Linked DNA regions of Drosophila melanogaster. The protein of the gene in region 1 interacts with the protein of each later gene in a pairwise test. Each region holds a gene or a part of one and is shown in the gene's direction. Other genes may lie near its edges.

Evidence for each region.
Region 2: the proteins of smash (region 1) and ebd2 interact in a two-hybrid assay, tested with the Drosophila melanogaster proteins (one large-scale study listed by BioGRID).
Region 3: the proteins of smash (region 1) and Sap-r interact in a two-hybrid assay, tested with the Drosophila melanogaster proteins (one large-scale study listed by BioGRID).

What each region holds. Positions count from the first base shown.
Region 1 is NT_033777.3:4,656,790-4,662,926, forward strand, and holds the start of smash (smallish), read left to right. Parts: upstream 1-2,789; 5' UTR 2,790-3,610; intron 3,611-3,737; exon of another isoform or gene 3,738-4,150; intron 4,151-6,137. Other genes in the region: spartin, read left to right, coding at 114-420, 792-1,023.
Region 2 is NT_037436.4:21,343,548-21,351,351, reverse strand, and holds ebd2 (earthbound 2), read left to right. Parts: upstream 1-2,063; 5' UTR 2,064-2,310; intron 2,311-4,282; exon of another isoform or gene 4,283-4,314; intron 4,315-4,397; 5' UTR 4,398-4,597; coding exon 4,598-4,663; intron 4,664-5,276; coding exon 5,277-6,314; 3' UTR 6,315-6,584; downstream 6,585-7,804. Other genes in the region: CG32436 (uncharacterized protein), read right to left, coding at 1-803, 890-1,013, 1,091-1,337, 6,690-7,244; Tbc1d8-9 (TBC1 domain family member 8/9), read left to right, coding at 7,733-7,776.
Region 3 is NT_033777.3:30,882,453-30,891,562, reverse strand, and holds Sap-r (Saposin-related), read left to right. Parts: upstream 1-2,500; 5' UTR 2,501-2,629; coding exon 2,630-2,678; intron 2,679-2,736; exon of another isoform or gene 2,737-2,823; coding exon 2,824-2,902; intron 2,903-4,658; coding exon 4,659-4,941; intron 4,942-5,015; coding exon 5,016-6,843; intron 6,844-6,912; coding exon 6,913-7,388; intron 7,389-7,445; coding exon 7,446-7,587; intron 7,588-7,645; coding exon 7,646-7,650; 3' UTR 7,651-8,099; downstream 8,100-9,110. Other genes in the region: CG15547 (uncharacterized protein), read left to right, coding at 8,164-8,435, 8,492-8,580, 8,636-9,110.

The sequences.
Region 1 (6,137 bases):
TCGGAGTTTGTGCTTGTGTTTGATAATCATGTTAATCAATGGTTTGGAAATGTGCAGATTACATATAAGATAGATCTAATGTATCTTATGTTGTAACCTTTTGTTCATTATAGTTGAGGTGGCCCAAAAAGTGACGCACGCCGCAGCCGGAATGACAGGATGGATAGCTGGAAAGGTGGGCACTGCTTCAATGGCAGTCGGCCGCTACCTGGCTCCCCACATTCAGGAGCAAGGCTCTAAACTGCTGCAGAAGGGATTTGGCTACGACACCAGCGAGGCTAATAGCACCATGGAGGGCGCCATGACCATCGCGGCAGGAGCCGTGGAAGGAGTGAGCACCGTATTCGATGGCCTCGAGACTTCCGCCAAGATCCTAGGCTCCAGCCTCAGTGAAAACTCCGTCAAGATAATCGAACACAAGTGGGTTGGCTTTGGCTTCTTAATGCTTATGCAGTTTTGTAACAGATGTCATTACGAATTTTCGTCCGAATTGAAAGTAATCACTTAGGCTGGCAACGGTTTATTCAATTTAAATATATCTGAGATTTAAGTTATGCGCAATGTGCAGAGGATCGCAAAAATGATCAAGGATCGGGAAATGTTACTCAAGCTTGCACACAAAGAAAAGTTTTATAACTTGTTGTGAATCGTCTCAAATATGTAATGCTACTAAAGGTCTACTAAGATCTAGATATTCATTTTGGGTTTCTTTCGCCTTCGAAAAAGAAAAACATATAGTGCGGGCATTTTTAATATTTCATATATTTACATATATTTATTTGCTATTTCAGATATGGCCAGCAGACGGGGAATCTGGCTAGTGGCACCTTTGACACGGTGGGCAACGTTTTCGTGGTCAGTCAGAACGTGAACTACATAACCCCGAAGGGCATTGCCAAGAAAATGGTCAAACGAACAGGAGAAGCTGTGGTCAGTGACTACAAGCGAGACTTACGCAAATCGGAATCTCATTATATTAATGCCGGATCTCTTTATCCGGATCTTCGAGCTTTGAAGGAATAGCGGGAAAACCAAAGGAATTTATCACATGTTATTATTATTATTATTATTATTATTATTATTATTATTATTATTATTATTATTATTATTATTATTATTATATTGAAATATTTATATGCCATTTATAGCTTCTAATTAAAAGAAAAAATATAAATAAATATTATGTTCAATAACACATAAAAAAGATATTTCGAAAGATTTTGCATCAAAACCTTATTTTAGTGTTCAAAAATGCTTTACTTTTGTATTTGTAGATAAACCGAAGCTAGAAAGTATTAAAAAGAAAAATGTTTAATTCACTTTGTATATTTGTATAACCTAAATTCTAGCTTCCTAGCACTCCAACCGCTAAGTATCGGGTATCTTTTGTTTTTAAATTAAAATGTCCTGATTTTTGATACACAACTCAGTCCTCTTTCACTAATTTAAAAGAATTAACAATTTTAGCAAGGAATTTAGTATGAACGTACCATGTAAATTGTGAACAAATGTTGATCTAAGTATCTTTAGATTGACGATCAATAAAAAGCCGTCTAATTTAGCGGCTTTAAATCCTCGTAAGTACTGTCATAGCTTCCGATCGCCTGAAGTTACAGACTTTTGAATCTTATATTGTTGAAAAGGTTATGTTATTTGCATTATTTCCTAACCATTTCCTAAGACTCTATATAGCTATCTTATTCCTTATTCTTTTTTCCTATCTTAAAAAGCACTCTGATCAAGCAAAAACTTTGCGGAACGAGTCAAATTTTATATAAACAAGTTAGGAATTTATATAACGAGCGATGAACCCCACATATATACTTTGGCGAAATATGGTAAAACTTCACGTTTTGTTTTATACACGAGATATAGAATGTGATATTCTATAGGTCCTAAGTGTCATATATCAAGGAGCCCATATATTTAGTTAGGGTTCAGCTCCCGAATCAGAACATAACATAACATGAATGACTATAACCCCTATTGTTGGTAAAACTTTCTCCTAGACTATATTTACATTTACCTTATTATAGTCCTTTTATCCTATTAATATTTATATTAGGAGAATATAGGAATATGTATACTCATATTATTGTCAAAATCATATGAATACATTTTTTTATATATATTTATTAAAAAGAATCCGTACATAATTATATTGTATCTTAGCATCACAGGGTGGAGATTTATTCTTAAGAATTACCAGTCGATATATAAAAAAAGTAAAGTAAATGAATACATTTGTTTTCAAACGTTAGCTCTCGTGCGAGTTCCATTCTGAAAATAGGAATGGGTGTTTAAATCCTCACATGATTAGTGAGAGGTTTGGTTTTATCATTTATATGTTAATTGCGCTGTTATGTTGCTATTGCTGCATTGTATGGATTCATCGCTTCTAAATAAATAAATTTAAAAAAAAGGAATGGGTGTAGCATACTTTCGGGACGCGCAATAAAAAATTATCTTGAAATTGGTTTGGTTTTAAACTCCGCCATATATCATTATATAATATTATATATTATTTGATCCCAAAGCTTCATAGATTGATCCATCAGCGTCTCGTTGATTTTTGTATGCAATACTTTACGTACTAATTCAAAAACCGAGAAAGTTGTTAATTATTTTGAAGGCTTTTCGCCGAACAACGTAACAAAAAACGTAAGAGCGTACAGAGAGACCTTGCCTGCGGACAGATAAAAATACCGCTCGTAGTCCGATTCGACCCACCTCAACTGATTCAGCTGGCCACACTCCGCCCCATTTTTATATCCACAAATTCCTACGCTCGGCAGTACGTTTTGAACTCGGCCAAAAGGAGGTGGCTAAGAGTTTAGCGCGGCACGCAAGCACATAATTCCCCGCTCGGACGTGATTTCGCCCCTTGGTACATGAATACATGTGAATGTGTACATATGTGCGCACGGGAAATAAGGCAGGAAAAGCCCAAAGCCACGGAGTTCGGATCCGAGAGTCTTGCGTTTTGTTTTGCGCAGCACTGCACCTGTGCAGTGTAAAATCGTGAATTCAGTCGAGGTGCAACTGCGGCGCTTGTGCGGTTGAGGGAGGAGAGTTGGCAGAAGTGTGTTTGTGTGTGTATGTGGGTGGGTAGTGCCTTTTATTTCCGATTTTGACGGGAGTCCAATCCACCAAGCTGAGTAGTTGCAATTACGGCGCGGCGGAAAACTGTTTTTCTCGCTCACAAATACATATGTACAACCTGTATAAACAACAACGACTGCCGTAAACAGCCAACTGCGAACGCAGCAACAACAACAGTTCTAACAACAGTACACAAGCAAACACGTTTCCCGTTTTATTTTCTGGCCCGCGTTTATTAGTGTGTGTGGGTGCGCCTCTGTGTGCGAGTGCGTATGTGTGCGTGTGTACGTGTTGCTCGCTCGAGTATAGAAATTTCTAATGATTTTTGGCCTGTTCCCGAAAAGCAGCTCCAAACAACAACAACAACAACTTTAGGACTCTGCAGTGGCTGTTCCAATTGACTCGCCATTCTTTTGAATTGTTTTTATATATGTAATTGAACGCCGAAAAACAACTGTGTAAAAAACAGCATCTGTGCCAGCAACGAACAGAGCTTCGAATTTTGTTGGTAAGTGTTTTCAGCTTCTGCACAATGAATAAAGTAAATAATAAGTGAATAAGTGATTTCAAAATCTGCATTTTGAAACCGTAAAAAGTGTAGAAAAGAAAAGTGTAAAAAGGTAGCCAATTGTCTTAGTAACGTGCTTATTTATGCAATTTGTAACTATTGGCTTGAAGTTTACATAAAAAAAGGTCCATTCGAAAAATGAAGACTAATATCTTTCCTATCTTTCCTAACGGATATCAAAAAGTAGGATTGGGTAAAACACATTTCTCTCGGAGATTTTTCTTCATTGAGCGGATCGCTTAGATCCATTCATCTGACGCAACAGTAGCAGCAAAATAACGTTGTGATGACCAGGACTAGGGATATGACCTCAAGCAGCATTCTGGGACCTGGATCATGTTGGTCAGGCGGAACTTGTAGATGGAGGCTCGTGTTCTGGAGTGAGGCTTGTGAGCTTGAGTTGTACATTCTTGCGATCCATCCACCGATCTGCTGGCTTTCGAATTTGATGTTCGACAAATGTGTCTCAAAAAAATTTCGACACCCTCGACATGCGTTTCTGTGTTGGCTTTGATAGGTTTTTTCCCCAAAACATTTTCACTTTGCATGCCAATTTTCTCACCGCTCAAACTTGCAGCACTCGGGCGCCTAGTCATTTATTTGATATCATCATTATCGTCATTGCCCGAGCTACAGGCTACAGGTTTTTAGCTAATAAGGTAATGGCAAAAAGACGGGGAAAAACGGCTGAATTATAATCGAAAGAAAAAATCCATCATTGGAAAGTTGGTTTAATTGCATTTGCGGAATGCAGCTGTCAGGGTTGCCTAGTTGTGCGACAGGGCGACGCATTTTTCGCCAGCCGCGCACTTGGCTAATATTTCAGGCTTCATGCTTCATTTGCGTTACGAGCGGACCAAGTCGACTTTCGGAGCAAACCCGGCGGCAAGGGCGTTGGACTAGATTGGATCGGGTGGATTGGATGATGAAGGTGATGGGACAGGAGAAAGGTATTTGAAAGGGCTGGAGTGGGTTACACACTCCCCGGCGATATGGAGTTCATCGTCTTCCGAACTTGAGTTTCAAAATCTAAAAAAAAAACATCTCTATGTATGTATGTATGTAAGTACTTGTGTCTCCCAAGTTCTGGTGCCTGGAAAATCGTCAAACAAATATATTTTCAAAACTTAAAAATTTTTTTTTTTTGGTTTTCGAAGGATAGCGTGCACTACCCACAAAAGGAGCAATAAATTCCTCCGGGTGACAGTGGTTGGCAATTTTTTGCAGCAATTGGCAGGGCGAGTGTGGGAGAGAGCGGTGCCGGTCGTTACACGTTACACACTTTTCCGGGGCACTTTCCCAAGCGAATATTATTTTTTCTGTGCCCTCACATGAAAATCAATTCATAATGGTGCAGGTGGGTGGCGGCTCTCATGCTTTTTTTATATTTTTCTCTATAGTGCGATTGAATGCGACAGAAAATAGTATGATCAAGAAATCATATTGTTTACACATCGGTTTTATAAATTTGGTAGTTTAATTTTTATTAGTCCAAACAAATATCGGATTATATTTTTGTTTCAAGTGTACTTTTCACTTCTTTGCACGGTGGGTATTTTCCTCATCATCTGTTTTTCGAAGAGCTTTTCCGCCGCTGCTGTTTTGTTTATGCTTTTCCCATCTCATTGTTTTTGCGCGCCTCGTGCGTCAATTTATGTGAGTTCAGTTTGCCTCAAAGACGGAAGCGGTCTTAATGGTACAAATAGGAGTAGCTGCGGCTCCAGCTAGGAAACCGGAGGAAAAGGGTGCCGTGGAAATTGGCGCCGCCGCAACTGCCCAAATGCCGCGGCTGCTCATAACTTGTTTGCCGAATAATTTCCAAAGTTGCAATTTTCATTTTATGGCCATTTGTCTTCGGTTGTTTTGTCTGCCGGTTGGGGCACATTCGAAGCCCGGTTTTGCTTTTTTTTTTTCGTGGCTCATTTTGTTTTGTAATCAGAATTACATAGAGGGAAACATTTCATTTTCATTTGCTAACTAAGTTGGTCTCTCTTTCGGACCGCTCTGTAATCGGGTAAATGAAATCCAGATCAGTGGCGAAATTACAAATTTGTTCCATTTTGTTCTAAACATACTCGCATTTCGTAAGTTAAAATTTTCATACATTAGTTTCAAAAGCTAGAAATATAATGAGAATCTTAGAAATAAAGCGATTGTCATGTAATTACATGATACTAGAGTACCTTATCCAAATCAGACTGACTTGTTTTAAGCCATCTTGTGCTTGACATACACATGCTCAACTCTTCCCTTTTGGGAGGTGCTATCTGGTATCCGATTTCGTAACCAATTCGGCCCGAGTCCGGCTCTTTCATAACAATAACCAAAAGCACTTGTCACTGCCATCTGCTGCCGGCAACTTCGCCGTGGCCACCCATATGGGCCCAGTTTGGGCTCGTCGCCTACCTGTTTCACCGGGCAGTGTGAGTGATACTTGTGCAATTATTGTACAAACTCATAGTGTCCA
Region 2 (7,804 bases), on another chromosome or scaffold:
ACTTCTTCCGAAGGGTTTTGTAGTAGGCTACACCATACCTTATGATGTCATCCACAGTACCCGGTTTCCATAGCTTGGCTAGCTCAAATTCCGAGTAAATCAGAGCTATCAATGACACAACTAGCGATGCATTCTTCTCATTTCCGGAGATCGGTTGGTGAATGCCACCTGTGGCCGCAGTTTTTACAGCAAAGTTCTCATTGACTGGCGCCCAGAGTTTGTGATACTCCTCGTTTTCCGCCGAATTAATTGGTGGCTCCTTAAGTTTTCCATACTGAGTCAGCGATATCTCAAAAATATTGAATTCATCCTGCGGCTGCAGATCGCTAAACTTGGTGATCAAATGGACCAAGTGCTCCGTATAGCGAGTGGCCATCAGTGAGCACTTTCCCTCCTCGAAATTCCGTTCGCAGTTTTCATCACGTCCATTGGGATCGAAGATATAGTACGAGTTTAAGCAGCGCTTCCAGATCAGCAGGAAGAGATCCCGGGACGTAAAGATGCAGGCATTGTATTTGGAGAAGAATAGGGAAAGTGCTTTGTACATATTTGGTTCGTTTTTCAAAAGTCCCGAGAAGTGTATCTTAATCTCAACGGCGGCGTCTCGTTCCGCAACCTGTTGGATTATATCGAAATCATTCACGTCTGACTTGTAGTTTAGGTCGGCGCTCTTTTTGGTCAATTTCACTCCGCGCTTTAGAATCCCATCCATTGTAGATCCCGTCCAGAAATCGGGATTCAAACGAAAGGTCTCTACGAAAGCGACTATAATGGCACCGATTTCACTAGGCCGATAATAGTACCTGGATTTAATGTAAGGAGGAGTTATATATTTTATTGGAGGGTATTAGTAACTAAGCATTACTAGCAAAGAAATCAGATTACTCACTGCAAACGGTTGGGCTCCTTCTTTGGTTCAGGATAGATGTTCCGATTCCCAAACACAATCTCAGCAGTAAACGTCTTTTCCAGCTGTTGTGGTATATTATAGAGCGTAAGTTCGCCGTCGTTTTCTGTGAAATTTTGAAAAGCCTAGATTAGGAATGCAAATCTCTTGGAAAAAAGATAGTTCTATTCGCTAACTACACACCATATTTCGGCAGGGAGGCGGATATGAACTCCTGATCCATATGCTCCTCTCTCTTCTGGTAGCCCACATTCCAGGTCCACAAATCCTGTGGACTGCAGCCCTCAATGATATCGAAGGTCTTGAGGTTTTCTCCTTCTAAGCCTTCTTGCAGGATTCGCGGATTGTAAGATGAAAAGGGGAGCTCCTCCAAGGGTCCAACTTCAGTTTCGTTTAGGTATATGCGACTCTTGGGACGCTTTAGCTCCAACTGCGCAGGTTGTATAAATATATCATTTCTTTTTTTTAAGATTATATTAATATTCAATGAGGTCGGTAAATTAAATTTATAATTGCAACCGATATACATGAATAAAATAAAAATAAGCTAAAATACATTACAACCATATCCAAATAATTTCTGTATGTGTGGTCAACAAATGGCGCACTTAGTGTAACCCAAATTGCGTAAGGATATGTCCAGCCAATTGAAATATTCAGTGAATTCATAGTCTTGGCTGGCGATGGATTGGGTAACATATGGCCAGTTATCAACGCTTGGCTCTGTGCAAGCTCTGTGCTTTCACTCGGCGACTCGGTTTTCCTGGCCATGGCCATAAGCTTTTAATGCGGCTGAAAATAGCACGCATACGCCACCGATGCCCGACGCCCCGTTGGTCTTTGCCTTGGTCTTGGTCTGGGTATGGCATTTCAGTATTGTGTTGTATGGCAAGGTATGGTATGGATGGTATTTACGGGAGGCCTGTTTTTTCTCCTCCGCTGTTTTTTGCGCTCATCAAGAAGTTAGTTAGCGGCATAAGGTAAGCACGAAATGCCAACTAGACTGACTATAACGACCTGATGTCGCCGCGCTATATGTGGTATACGATGGCATGCGCTATATATGTATGGGTTCGCAGTGCGTCTGTGTTGGTGAGTGTGCCTCTATGGCTGGCTGGCCACGATGACGGGCACCAAACAACAGAGGCGTCCCATGCACAGAGCAGTAAACAACGAACAGCGCTTAGTGCCACATCACGGAATCTTATCGCTCTCGTTCGTTCGGTCGTCCAAAAGCCAAAAACCCAACCAGACCAAAAACCGACTAGCCCGAGACCAAAAACCCGGACCCCGAGCAAATACGAAGCTGCCTCGGCTGCAGAACAAACAAGTCATCTAGTAAGTAGCGTGCTGCAGCAAAAACAGAAACAACAGGCATCCAAATCGACGACCAGGTGAACCAGGTGAGCGCCGCAGTATCGCACTGTTATAGCATACGACCACGTCAATACCAATACTAACACCAATACCAAGGCGCACTTGCCAACAGTACAAGTCGGTTCCAATTCCAACAACGCAACCCTCTTTCCATGGGCGAGCTAGCTGGCAAAATGTCAAACTAGGCGGGGTTACGATGGGGCTCGGTGTGTTCCGCGTACGGGGACTTCAGACACATGATCATTCGCAAGGCAGGTGTGGTGGGATGTCCACTTAATTATATTTTATTTTAAGAACAATACTTTGAGAAGACAAATGCTTATTTTATTCATGTAGTGGGATCCAAAGGACATGTTTTTTTGAGTTATCATATACCTTATGCAAACGAATATTCTTAATATATAATTAAATGTCAGTGAAATACAAGAAAATGACCATAAGTTATTAATTTCATCCAGAGACCTAATTCAAAGAAAGACTAGGAACTGCTGAAGTATTCCACTTTAAGGCAGCCCTTTCATCAATGATGCTGAGGCTGCAAGAGCAAACTTCGAGATGGCTTAAAACTCAACTTAAGTTTGGTATTTGCGAGGTGCAGCCGCCCAGCGAAATTGAGATACACATGCATATGGGGATGGACAGCCAAGTGTTTTGTAAGCAGCGGTCTGGCACCTCGAAAAACAGAGCTTGTCTGCATATACAGAGAAAACTTCAAAAGAGTAAACTTCATTTAATAGTTTTATTTCAAGGACCTTTTTAATAGCTAGTATATAGCTAACAAAAATAATGCTGAACAGAATTGATGTTCTTTTAGTGCCTAAAACATACAATAACTATACCTTTTTAGACAGTTAGTTTAAATGAACGAATAATAGGGAATTTCTCTGTTGTCTAACAACGATCTGGACCGATAAGAAGCTAGCTATGAACGCCCCAAAGACTTTAGAGCGAGCTTATATCACTTCGGCCACCAAACGAATCGTTGGAAGAGTAAAAGTAGACAGGCTCTTATCTGTGACGCAAAGGTAATTAGCCAAGATAGAGCGAGGTTTTTGCGGCGGGCAATCCGACGAGGAATCGGACTTTAATCGGTAACCCAGCATATAGCCTTGCCACCCCCTCCTGTCATCGCCACGCTCCTGCTCCTTCCACCGACAACAAAAATTGATACATAACAAACAACAAACGCGGCGAAACGCAAACGCATATGACACAAGAGCGAAGCGACTGCAACCGCACTGCTTTTGCATACCATGCCCACTGCCGATGCAATAGACCAACAACGCACATAACAGCGGGCAAATAGAGAGTTTCACTTTTTAGGTGCAGACATGTATTTATACATGTATACATATGTACATATATACTAGATACATAAGATCAGCAAATTAACAATTAACGCCTTAAAAGTAGTCGATGTTACCAGGGTTCCCAAAGTATTTGGGGTATTTGCAGGATAAGGACTGTAATTGAATATTTGAAAGCCTTAATATTAATTCATAAAAAAACTGCCATGTTTTATTACTAGAATTAAGCCTTTCTGCAGTTGATAACTGCATTTGTTATTAATATGACAAATATGAAATTGTATATATTGTTTTGTTTTCGCCAACTATAATTACTTATGAAACCCAAAATATTCTGCTTGCTTCCCTGGTTTGCCAGAATCAGCTCTAATCTCTTCCTACAATCAAATCATCTAAGCATTGTCTAGTGGTTTAATACCCTTTCTAGTGAAGTACGCTAGTAACTTGACCTGCACTGTACAAAAGTAACAGCTGCGTTGCTACAACAGCAAACACCATGCAAAAGGGATTGAGCATAGTGAACCGTTTTTATTTCATACGGAGCGCGCACTGAACGCACACACACACAGGCGCAGAGAAACGAAGAGCGGAACCAAGAAACAGAAACAGGGCACACAAGTGTGTTATTACTCAGTAATTGTAAAAATGTCAGAGGCGCAACAACAAAAGCTAATACAGAGGCAAAGCGAATTTGAGAACGTGCCGTGCCAACTTTCGTAAAAAGTGACTAACAAACGCTTAGCCATTTGCATCAACAGTATTAATATTGCTTTTATTTCTGTTTTATTACGTTTTCTCTGTAACAGCTTCAAAAAGGAGTCTCGCACGAACACATCTCTATCTCCCTCTGACGCATGATCTAAGTGGCGCGAGAGCGGAACGACTACAGCCGTAAGAGCGCAAGAAGCTGCTGCGCAGTTATCGGAAAAGAAGAAGTGGAGAAGGAAAAGAAGGAGAACGGAAAGAGCAGAAACCTAGTTGCAATTGACTTAACACAACTATTGAAATGGCTGCTATTGCCGCCCTGCCAACAACAACGTTGCGGCGCAACAACAACAACAACACCAAAGGGGTAAGTAGTCGCAAAGGGACAAGGGACCAGATATGTCTGTTAACTTGGCCCTTAAGCGACCCGCTGAGGGTGGATTTTATAACGTGTCTCGAGTGGACACGCGGCAGTTACACTAAACACGTGTACACAAGCATATGCATACATATGTACATGTATACCGCACACATATCGTACATTCATTTACCCTTGAGCTGCGTGGCTTGCAACCAAGGTCCTTTACATGCACACCCTTTGCATGATCGAAACGGAGGCCGTTAATCCCTTAAGGCTAGCTTAGTGTTGCAGTTCGTATAGGCCTCTGTTTTCATTGTAATGCCAAATTCGCACTATGTTCATATACAACAATAATATTATCTATAAAAATGTACAAATTCTATAGAGCTTATTGGAAAAGAAATATACGTATATATATATATACGACACTGAGAGAAAAAATTACTTATCCGCCCAGTAACACTTCTGCATGGAAATTTTCGACAGGATATAAGAGGTGGTCAACAAATGTGGCTTGTACCCTAATAGTTGCAGATATCTAATAATTTATTAAATTGCTTAAAATATATTTAATACTAATCTTAGGTTAATCTTATACTCTTCCCTCTCTATATTTTAGATCAAATCCCGTCGCAATGAGCGTAACATCCTGACATTCTACGAAAAGATTGCCGTAATCCGTTACTATGACGAGACCAACATCTCTAGGAACAGTCTGGCCAAGATGTTCCACTGCTGCGCCACCCAAATACGTAGAATCTTGGATAAGAAAAAGGATCTGCTGCAGCAGTTGGCCACCTTAAGCGAGGCAGATGCCTCCATTATAATCGAAGAGATGACGCGCAAGCGCCGCAAGTTCGAAATGAGTGCCATCAGCTTCCTACTACACGAGTGGGTGGAAAGGTGCATCCAAATGCAGTTGAACATCAGCATAAGGAACCAAAAACTGAAGGAAACCGCCATCCGGATGGCAGCTGTGTTGAACCTGCCATCCTTCAGACCATCCTATCGATGGCTAAGCCGATTCCGCAACAAGTACAAGTACGAGGCCGATGAATTGGGCTACCAGGGCGAAAATCCCTTGAACCAGGACCTGCCTGTCGAAGACATCATTGTGGAGTTTAAGCATGCACTGCCGAACTTCATGCAACGGGAGCTGGATAATCCAGGCGAAGCAATCTCAAAAGCAGCTGTTATGGCAGATTTTGTCAATCTCTCCAGCGAAAACAGTATCATGTCCGATCATCCAGAGGGGGATAATGAAGTGGAGCTGGTAACATGTGAGCCCACCATGATGTCCTCACCATCCAGCACACCAGATGCTGCAGAGGGGGAAATACCTCTGCAGGCACATGGCGACCAGGAAAACCCGGATGATCAGATTAACGCTGGAACCAGTACTCTTCTGAATGGGGTTTTTCCGCATCTAGCCATTATCCACCAGTTCGCTCTGATGAACTCGGATGTACAGGCATTGGAACTTATCTCCCAGCTGGGAGTGCACATGCAGCAACAGGCTGTTTCTGGAGCTTATCATAACCTGTCGCTGGCGACTACCGATGGAGATGGGCAAGACGATCCAGGAGAAATCGCTCTTTCGGAACTGCCACCGGGAAGTATTTACGCCGATATCGATGACATCGAATTGATCGAGTAAAAACATCAATTTATCAAAAGGTTAAAGCTAGTCTAAACTTATGCCTCAGCGTAGTCGACTGTTATTTATAATCAACAAATCGTTTTGTTATGAACTTAAATGAGTTCATTTCACCAAAAAAGTACTTAAGGCCTTCGACTTTTATTAAGATTAATTCTTAAAACAACAACAATAAGAGATCTACTTCATAATTTAGTTTAAATCAAATTCGATTTGATTGATTAAAAGGTTAATAAACCAGAATTGCTTATTATGATCATGTTAAAATTTAATAATCCGCAGATAATTTGGAAATGGTGGTAATTTGGGATACGTAGTTTATACGAATCGAGAAATATTGTCTATACCAAGTTTATAAGCTATATCTAAACATACCATGCGTTTGTCCGGAATAATTATCATATCAGAACTGCATTCTGGAGTGGCTAGTTGTGGCTTGACCTCGCCCTCCTCCTCTTCCTCGCCCTCCTCCGCCTGTTGTTCCTCCTCGCCCATGTCCATGGGACTGTTGAGGACGACGAGATCTTTGGGACATGGCCTATCGACCCTGGCGTCGTGCTCGACGAGTCCAAAGTCCTTGCGCGCGGCCAGAATTCGCTCTCGCATCTCGGCATGGGTCTTTAGCTCCGCTGGAGTTCGTTGTGGCACGATGCACATGGTTAAATCGTCGTAGAGGTCACATTTCTTTTTATAGGGCTTTGTGAAGCGGGATTCCTCCGCCTTGTGGTGGATGCGACGCAGCTCATCCTCGATGGTTAGCACTTGGGAGATCGTGGAGTTGGGTGGCTTTTTCTGACAGACGCGATCGCGGGGCGGACAGTTCTCCGCCTTCCATTCCGGCGACGTTTCGTTGCCCAGAAAGGTACGAATCTCATAGGGATTGTTAGAGGGACTGCACTCGGCGTTCACTTCCACGAATTTTTTCAACATTTTTGCAAAACACTGACGATTTTGCAGGAGTTGAGAATAAAACTAGTAATTTTGTAGCACGACACGTTCGTTGGGCTTTGAACTTGTTATATAAATGAGAGGTTTCAGTTTCGATTTAAAGCTAAAGGCTAACTATGTAATTTATATGGTAACTTTGCGTAATATTAAACTGTTAATAATGAACATTTTCTGTTTCTCTATTCGGCTTCTAAAAGCCAACAAGTTTTTAAATTGGAGAGAACATATTTCGCTTAATTGAAGTTAAGATACAGATTCATATTCTTAGGTTTAACTAAACGTTAACTATTTGATTCAAAAATCGGACGCAGAGTGCACCCATTCACAATAGATTGCTTAGTTCTTTGTGCGTTTTGTGCTTTCCAGCCAACGGGCACACTTGCCACAAAAACAGCAATCAGCGCTCGATGCAGAATTAAACAAAGAGTAATTTTGTATTTAGAGCCTGGCACGGGCTAAGAACAATCAAAATGTGGATTCAGCCCAAGGAGCTGCTGCTTCCCTCGGCATTTTGGTGAGTTATAGCCCAAGTCCGCAGCCGA
Region 3 (9,110 bases), about 26 Mb from region 1:
CTTCATTACATGATTTAATACACTTCCTTATCAGGATGTCTAATTTGTATTTAGATTTACATAATAATGACCAGTTAACGGTTGTTGACATTTCTACGTGAGTCTGTGGTTTATTCACTTTTTATCGATTCAAAATAAGCGTGGCAAACGTGTTTGGTTTCCCATAAACAAATCATGAGCGAAGTCTCACGCAAAGCAGTTCAATGGGTCAAAGTTTTCGAGAATTAGCGCTTCTAACCCAGCTAGACTACTGCATCTTTATGGCCAAATCCACACCTGAACTTGATCTGGATGCTGGACGGACTACGTGCGGAAGAAGAGCAGCAGTCAGTCGAGAAGCCTTCGCTCGAAGTCAGCTATAAAAGAGTTGTAGATCTTAACTATAACTTCAACTGTTTCTGCTTTGTTATTGTTGGGGGTTTCGTTCGCTTATAGCCATTATAGACAGTATTTGAAGATTTGACTCACAAATTATGGCCAGCAGTTGTGGCTGAATTGATTAGCTGGCATTTGGCTGTGGCTAGCGGTCTTTTAGCCCCTCGATAAGGTCAAGTTCATTTCCGCATGGTGAGGCAGTAGTTAGTGAGCTACGTTCTCTGATCTCCGAAAAGCGACTACCCCAAAGTAACTGTTTCGGAGTTTCAGGCGGATTTCATGGATAGGGAAAGGGAAATTGCCCAAGAGGTCAGCCAAAGTGGCCATAAACAATTAGCCATTAGACGGGCCTTATGTGACGCACTTGGCAATCGCGGCAATTAGAGTTGTTACCAATCTCTCCGCGGGTCACTCAACACAAAATGTATCTCGAGCCTCGATTTTATCTGCCAGCGTGTGAACTGCCGGAAATTTCACTCTTGTGGATGGATGCATTTAATTCTTTCCGAACCTGATTTTTGACCAAGTTAATTGGGAGGGAATAAAAGGCGTACTTTGTACTTTGTCCGACTATAACTTGGCTTGGCTGAATTCAAAGACCCAAACAAGCAGTCGCTTCTAGAGTAAACAAATTTATGAATGACATAAAAAAGCGGATAAAAGCAGAAAATTATCTCGCTCTTGAAACTCCGAAATTAAACGTTAGTCCAATGATTTACTGCTTCACTTATAAGCGTGTTAATTGCCTAAATTTCCTTCACTGCTGAACTTGATTACTTGTTCTTTGGCGGCGGTCCACTCAATTGCCATAATATCAATCTCGCAGCCAGACTTCAAGTGTCAAGTGCAGTGTCTGGCTGCAATTAACCCTCTACTACCCCATGGTACCTCGCCTAAGGTCACATAAACCTTAAATTCAATTCCTATTTAATCGAGTGCAATTTAATATTTCCACAATTTTTGGTTCTAAGTACCAAGTATTTCAGCAAGGTCTCAGTGGGTTAATCTCCGTCAAAGAACCGAAATGCACGGCAGGCGTTGCAATCCACGGTCAACACGACAGGTTTCAGGTTTCCTTCTAAGCCCCTGAACAGCCAAATCGTTGGTTTTGACACAGATATAGCCATGTTATGGCCGTATTGGCCGGATCGGCGCTTGCATTTGGCATTTCGTTGGGCAAACACCACCAGATGACCTCGACTTTCAATCGCTGTGAGAATGTGTCTGGCATTCTTTGCGAATGTATCTTCAGACGATTCTCACACAGATCTTGATACGCACCTCGGAATCGAGAATTACACGCCGATAGGCATCGCGAGAAAAATCTACTAGCCGGCCATTACGAGTGAGATGCATTTTCCCCAACATTTATGCCTGCGAGCTTTACATCTGGGCAGGCTCACATCAATTAACCCGCAATTACAATAGAATTTAATCATGTGCCTGCCAGTTCACGTCGCACAGTTGGCCAAGTTGGCCAAAGGGGGGTTAAGCGATGGGGCTGGGCAAAAAGGGGCGTATTAATAACCGCGCTAAGTTCAAGAACATCGCTGATGGTTATTGTCATAGTTTCGTCGCGGCAATATGTAATTAAATCTGCGGATTGCAATCGATTATAAATACATTGTGAGGCATTTGCGGGTGGCGAAGGCTTTGTTTGTTGATTGAGTGAGTGATTTAATAAATTGTTCCGACTTTAGGAGCAATAATTTTCTTCTACGATAATTGAAGTTATAATTTGAAGGACAACGTATTCAAGTACTCCATGTACTTAACACCCTATAGAAAGGTGGCCCAAATCTAATAGTTTCATATCGGTTACTTAATTGTTTATTATACCATTTTAAGTTTAATGATTTGCTGACCCCATTTTATGATAGCTTCCTCGGAGGTTTTTATGGCTTTTTGAAAGGCAAAAACAGATCTCTGTTATTAACAGAGTGCGGTTCGAGTCCATGCTCCCCCCTGATTGCTAAGTATACACTGGGTTGGTTTTATGCTAAAAGCATTATCCAAGTCTTGCTCCATAAGTATCGTTAAATAAATTTAACAATAATTCAATCGCTGACTGGTCGCACTATTATATCGCTACGGTATATATTTGACGAAACAGACGGCGGCCACACTACAGACAAATAAAAAATTGAACCAATCGTTGCAATTGCACTTCAGTTTTCGTTCAGAAATAAATACGTAGCTGCAAATAGAGGACTATCTCCGCCGACATTTAAGAAGTACAGTTAAAACCGGGAAAATGGAGAGAGCAGGCCTCTTGGCCGTTTTGGCACTGTGCTGCGCCTTTGGTGAGTGGAGAAGAGATGGAGAGAAGTGCGAAAAGCGACGTTGAAAGGGAACCACAATAATAGTTTAGTCATAGCTTATTGCGTATTCGTGCTGTGCACTCTGTTCCTCAACCGTTGCTCTCTTTGTTTGTTTGCTTTCTTGCAGGCGTCTTCGCCGCTGCCACGCCCCTTTTGGGCTCCAGCAAGTGCACCTGGGGACCCTCCTACTGGTGCGGAAATTTCAGGTGAGTGCAAAAAAGTGGGTGATACAATAAACGGTATATTCGGATAAATCGCTTGGTCATCGAACACCACAAAGTTCTCGAAGGCGAAAAGCTAACCTCTCTTAACCCCCCTCCAAATAGCGATATTACTTCTCCGCCTCACTTGCCCATTGTTTGCAGCGAAGACTCGTCTGTTCTGTTTTGTTCTCGGCCGATAAGACTATCACTCGAATCGGGAATCGAATCACTTTGCTCTACATAGCTCTATTCGCCGATAACCCCTGTTATTGCAAACTTAACACTAGTGCCGCTCTAATTGCGTCCCCTTATTTTGCGTTGTATTGTTTTACAGACTCGATGTTTTCTCTGAGTGCACTTTTCGCAATACTCTCTGCCTTCATATCCCATATTTCTGGATTTCCTTTGTCTGCACATTCGCTGTACAAATCAAATTAACAGTACCGCCAGTCGGAACATTTAGACGGCAGAGTTAAGCGCTCGTAGGGGGCACAACTTTATCGACACCGATTATATGCATGAGTAATCCAGAGGAGCAGATCGTTTTGACACAGCTCCCTTTTCTGTGCACCGCCAAACAAACCACATGATTGCTTTGTTTATCATTGTTAATTCGCTGTAGGCGGCAACAGTTGTTCCTTATCAACGAATTCTGACTAATCCCTCAGGCGTATGATGAGTACAGGGGAACATCCGAAAGTGCAACTTCTAAGCCTTAACACAATCACAATGCACTTGAAACCCTTATCTTAGCCATACTCACAATTGTAAATTCCTCAATGGAGTGATATTACATTGCGGCCACAAAGGATCACCTTACAGAAGCTATACTGTACGTACATATGTATGTATGTTACACCAAGATAAACTTGAAAACATTTACATGGACTGCATCATTAATAGAGTAAAAGCGATCAATAGGCAACTGAAAACATTTGTTAAGCACCCATCCATCGCTTATCGCTAGTCGTAATTCCTTTGTTTATTGATTGATTTATTTTTAAATGGCCAGGAAAATCCGCCATTTCTGGCTCTTAACCGTTTCTTTGTTTCTCAATTGCAGAGTGTCAAAAATTAAAAACGTCGCCATTGCTGTTGAAAATTCAGAAAACAATATCTGTGAATGCGCAGCCAAGTGAATAATATATACGTGGATACGTCCAGATATATCATTCATACATATGTACTGTTTATTTCCGTGCTTATCAGTGCTGATTTTTTGCTATTTAGACGCTTTTGTTTGGTATTCCTGGCGATTCCACCGCAGGCGTCTCTTCATGTTAATGGAAATTAGCACTTTCCGTTCGAATCAGTCAAATCGATTTATATTGAACAAATATAGGGTTACTTTCCATCAAAGTGTTGTGCTTTAAATGCTATTTGCTTATATGAGATGATATGGGCTTTGATTTAGTCAGCATAAGTTTGATGATTATTAAACCATTTCGTTCCGTCTCGGATGTTCAAAAATCAAAATTATTACCAGTCCAATGCTTCGTTGTATTCATTGAAGACCCAACATTATCATGTGAGCTGTGGGTGCATTCTTAAAGTGGATAGGGGACTACTCCCTTTTTAGTGGACTCTGGTCTTTGCTGACTCGTCGATTCTGGCTTGGCCACTCGATTACGAATGCGGGTCATTTGATCCGAACAGCGGCATTTCGCACAATCAGCTTAGTATCCGACTGCTTACTCTGATGGGTTTATCTTAACAGCAAAAAAAAAGTTTGCTAACTTTATGTCTGCTTCCTTTCCAGCAACTCCAAGGAATGTCGTGCCACCCGCCACTGCATCCAAACCGTTTGGGAAACCCAAAAGGTGCCGGTGGACACGGACTCCATCTGCACGATATGCAAGGACATGGTTACTCAGGCCCGCGACCAGCTGAAGAGCAACCAGACAGAGGAGGAGCTGAAGGAGGTCTTCGAGGGCTCCTGCAAGCTGATTCCGATCAAGCCGATCCAGAAGGAGTGCATCAAGGTGGCCGATGACTTCCTGCCCGAGTTGGTCGAGGCCCTGGCCTCGCAGATGAATCCAGATGTGAGTTTTCACCTCTACAACACATCCTCCTAAACCTTTTATTGATATATAAAATGTTTCCCTTCAATCCTCAGCAAGTTTGCTCTGTGGCCGGACTTTGCAACAGTGCTCGCATCGACGAATTGTATAAGAACGGCATTCAGGCTGGTCTTGATGGAACCGTCCAGAATGAAGATGACAGCTCCGAGGAGACCGAGTTGGCCATGCAGCCTAACCAACTTTCCTGCGGCAACTGCAACCTGCTTTCCCGCCTGATGCACTCGAAATTTGCGGCTACCGATCGCGATGACATGGTGGAAACGATGCTTCATATGTGCGGATCGCTATCTAGTTTCTCAGACGCCTGTGCCAACATTGTGCTCACCTATTTTAATGATATCTACGACCATGTGAGCAAGCACTTGACCACGGATGCCGTGTGCCATGTGTCCGGAGTGTGTGCCTCCAGATATCACCAGCATGAAGAGGAAAAGCAACCGCAAGAAGCCTTAGTTGCCTTGGATGCCGGCGATGATATTCCATGCGAACTATGCGAGCAACTAGTAAAGCACCTTCGCGACGTCTTGGTGGCCAACACCACTGAAACGGAGTTCAAGCAAGTTATGGAAGGATTCTGCAAGCAGTCAAAGGGATTCAAGGACGAGTGCCTTAGCATTGTTGACCAATACTACCATGTGATTTACGAGACTCTGGTCAGCAAGTTAGATGCCAATGGAGCCTGCTGCATGATCGGCATTTGCCAGAAGAACTCCGCCTCCTCGATGAAGGATGTCCCAATCATGCCGCTGCTGCCTGTTATTGAGCCGGCTCAGGTAAAGATCACCATCGAGAAGCTGGAGAAGCACGAGAAGAAGCAACTGGGCGCCAGTGAGCCGAAGTTCAGCCAGCAAGAGATCCTGGACATGCAGCTGCCCATTGATCACCTAATGGGTGCAGCTAATCCCGGAGCTTTGGTCGAGGGTGGAGAGCTGTGCACCCTGTGTGAGTACATGCTGCATTTCATTCAGGAGACTCTGGCTACCCCCTCCACGGATGACGAGATCAAGCACACCGTGGAGAACATCTGCGCCAAACTGCCCTCGGGAGTTGCCGGTCAATGCCGCAACTTCGTGGAGATGTATGGCGATGCTGTGATAGCTCTGCTCGTCCAAGGACTGAATCCTCGTGACGTGTGCCCCCTCATGCAGATGTGCCCGAAGAATCTGCCCAAGAAGGAAGATGTCGAAGTGTTCAATCCCCAGCCAGCCAGCGATGAGCAGGATCCCCCAACTTGCCCTCTGTGCCTCTTTGCCGTTGAGCAGGCCCAGATGAAGATCCGCGACAACAAGTCCAAGGATAATATCAAAAAGGTTCTGAATGGCCTTTGCAGCCATCTGCCCAACGAGATAAAGGAAGAATGCGTAGACTTCGTGAACACCTATTCCAATGAGCTGATCGACATGCTGATCACAGATTTTAAGCCGCAGGAGATCTGCGTCCAACTGAAGCTCTGCCCAAAGACCACTTACGCTCTCTGGGACTTGCGCATCTCGCTGGAGGACGATGTCGATGGTGAGGACAAATCCAGCAGTGAGGAAATCAGCTTCAATGACATTGAGTCCCTTGAGGAGCTGCCCCCTCAGCTGGCCTTCGACCCAGGATTCACCGCTGCTCCGAACTGCCTGATCTGCGAGGAGTTGGTTAAGACCTTGGAGAAGCGTATGGGCAAGCACCCCACCAGAGACAGCATCAAGCATATCCTGGAGGAGTCTTGCGACCGAATGAGGAAGCCAATGAACACTAAATGCCACAAGGTTATCGACAAGTACGGCGATAAGATCGCCGATCTGCTGTTAAAGGAAATGGATCCCAAGCTTATCTGCACGGAGTTGGGAATGTGCATCCTGGCTGATCTGGATGATCGTGAGTATTAAATTCTAGAGCTACGTTAAGTATACGTTTAAACTAATGAATTTCATTTTCGTAATACAGTCGAAGTGGATGAGGCTTTGAAGTACGACGTGATTGCTCTGCCGCGCCAGGACAACAAGCTGTCTAGCAGCATCAAGGAGCCGCCCACCTGCGTCCTTTGCGAATTTATCATGACCAAGTTGGATGCCGATCTAAAGAATAAGACCGAACAGGACGACATTAAGCGAGCGATTGAAGCCGTGTGCAATCGCCTGCCAGCCACGGTGCGCAAACAGTGCGACACCTTCGTCGATGGATATGCCTCTGCGGTCCTGAAATTGCTGAGCGATGTGCCGCCCAAGCAGGTGTGCCAGAAACTGCAGCTCTGCTTCAGCGTGGCCGTCACCGATGAAGTTTTGGAGTGTGGTGTGTGCCATGGAGTCACCCAGGCTCTGTTGCCCTTCCTGCGCGAGAAGAAAGATAACGTATCCGAAGTGACAGCCCTACAGATGACATCGGTGGGATGCGAGAACTTGCCAGCCAAGTACTACAAGATCGTATGTAACTTACAATCCTGAATGTTATAAATATCTATAAGTTCCTTTGCGTTGCAGTGCTCTGAGATGATCTCCATCTATGGCAGTAGCATTAAGAACTTGGCCAAACGACCCTATATTGATCAGTCGCATATTTGCGCCGAGATTGGCAAGTGTTTCGAAAGCGAGAAGTCTTCGCTGGCCTTTGCTAGAATTTCAGGTAAGCTATAGGTTGAAGGACCCAAACAATACATTTACTAATTTACTATCTTCAACAGCCTAAGTGATGCGTTGTGATGTACGAACCAGGCGCGGAGGATTTGAAGGAGAAGGGACCCGATCCCACGCTTTATATATGCATATACCTTTACATATATCTGTTTACATTCTATAACGATTTACTGTAAATGAAACATAATTACTTACTTTTCGTTTTGTACCCCGGTTTTTGGCTCTAAATTTGTTAGGTGAATTTGTGATGAAACTGAATTTATAAACGCACTCAAACGCCGGCTGAAAAAAGTTAAACTTAACTAAACTAACACTTACACTAAGCAGTACCCTTATCGTAATTTCAACATAAAAATTAGCGAAATTCACGAGCCGCAAACTTTGTATCGATATCCCCATGTGTCCGAAGTCATTTGAGCAGTGTGTGTAGTTTAAGATATCAAGCAAAACTGTGTAAAATACGAACATTGATCTTATAAATCATACAGAAAACTTAAACCGACATAGTAGCACATTATTGAAAATTCCCAATTCCCCTTGGAATAGTATATATTTTCTAGCCGACATGTTTGAGAACTCCCTGTTTATCATTAAGCCGGACTATCTGCACAAGCGGCGTCCGGTGCTCTTAAAGTTGCTGGCCGAGGGCTTCCAGATTCAGGGTAATCGACGGATTGCCTTTTCGCCAGAAACTGCCGCCGAGTTCTATGCCGATTATGCCGATGAAAAGGGGTTTATGCTGGAGGTCATTCTGCTTTCGAAGGGTGTTTCCGAGGCGTTCATAGTTACGAAGGAAAACGCCGTGCAGGAGCTGCTCAACATCATGATTTGTTATTTGTGAGTTTGCTTTTAAAATAAAATAATAAGTTCTCTAGGTACAATTTGACTTTAAGTGGTTCGGCATCGGATCTGGAACGCAATATCCATGTCACCAAGAACAGTTACAGCGTGGCTCGTGAGATAAACTTTATTTTTCCCAACTGTAAGTAGCGATACAGAGATTAATAAAGTAAAAAATAATATATCGAATTTTTCAGATATTCACGAGCCCCATCAAATGTTCGACCACAACAACTTCTGCAACAGGCCGATGCTTAAGCCGCTGCTCGAGGAGATCTACGACATAATGCAGAACACCGACTGCAGCCAGGAGAACTGGAAGGTGCGTGTTTCCGATTACCTGGTGCGCAGCAATCCAAAGATGCCGGAAATCAGCAACCAGTGCCAGCAGCGACCGGATGTGGCTATCCAGGACAAATCGCAGCAGACCACCATGACCTATGCTCCGAAGCCAAGTGCGCGGGCCGCGCAGCCGGGAGTCAAGAAAACGCAGAGCAGCAGTGCACCCTTGTCCACCACATCCCCGCATTCCTCAATGCTGCTCTCATCGTCTTCCTGTGTCACCTGTGGAGGCTTCGAAAGATCTCAGCCCGGTATTTCGGATCTGGACCTTAATAAGCGCGTAGAACCTCATGACGAGGAGCCAGTCTGTGTGGACGAGGAGATTTTGTG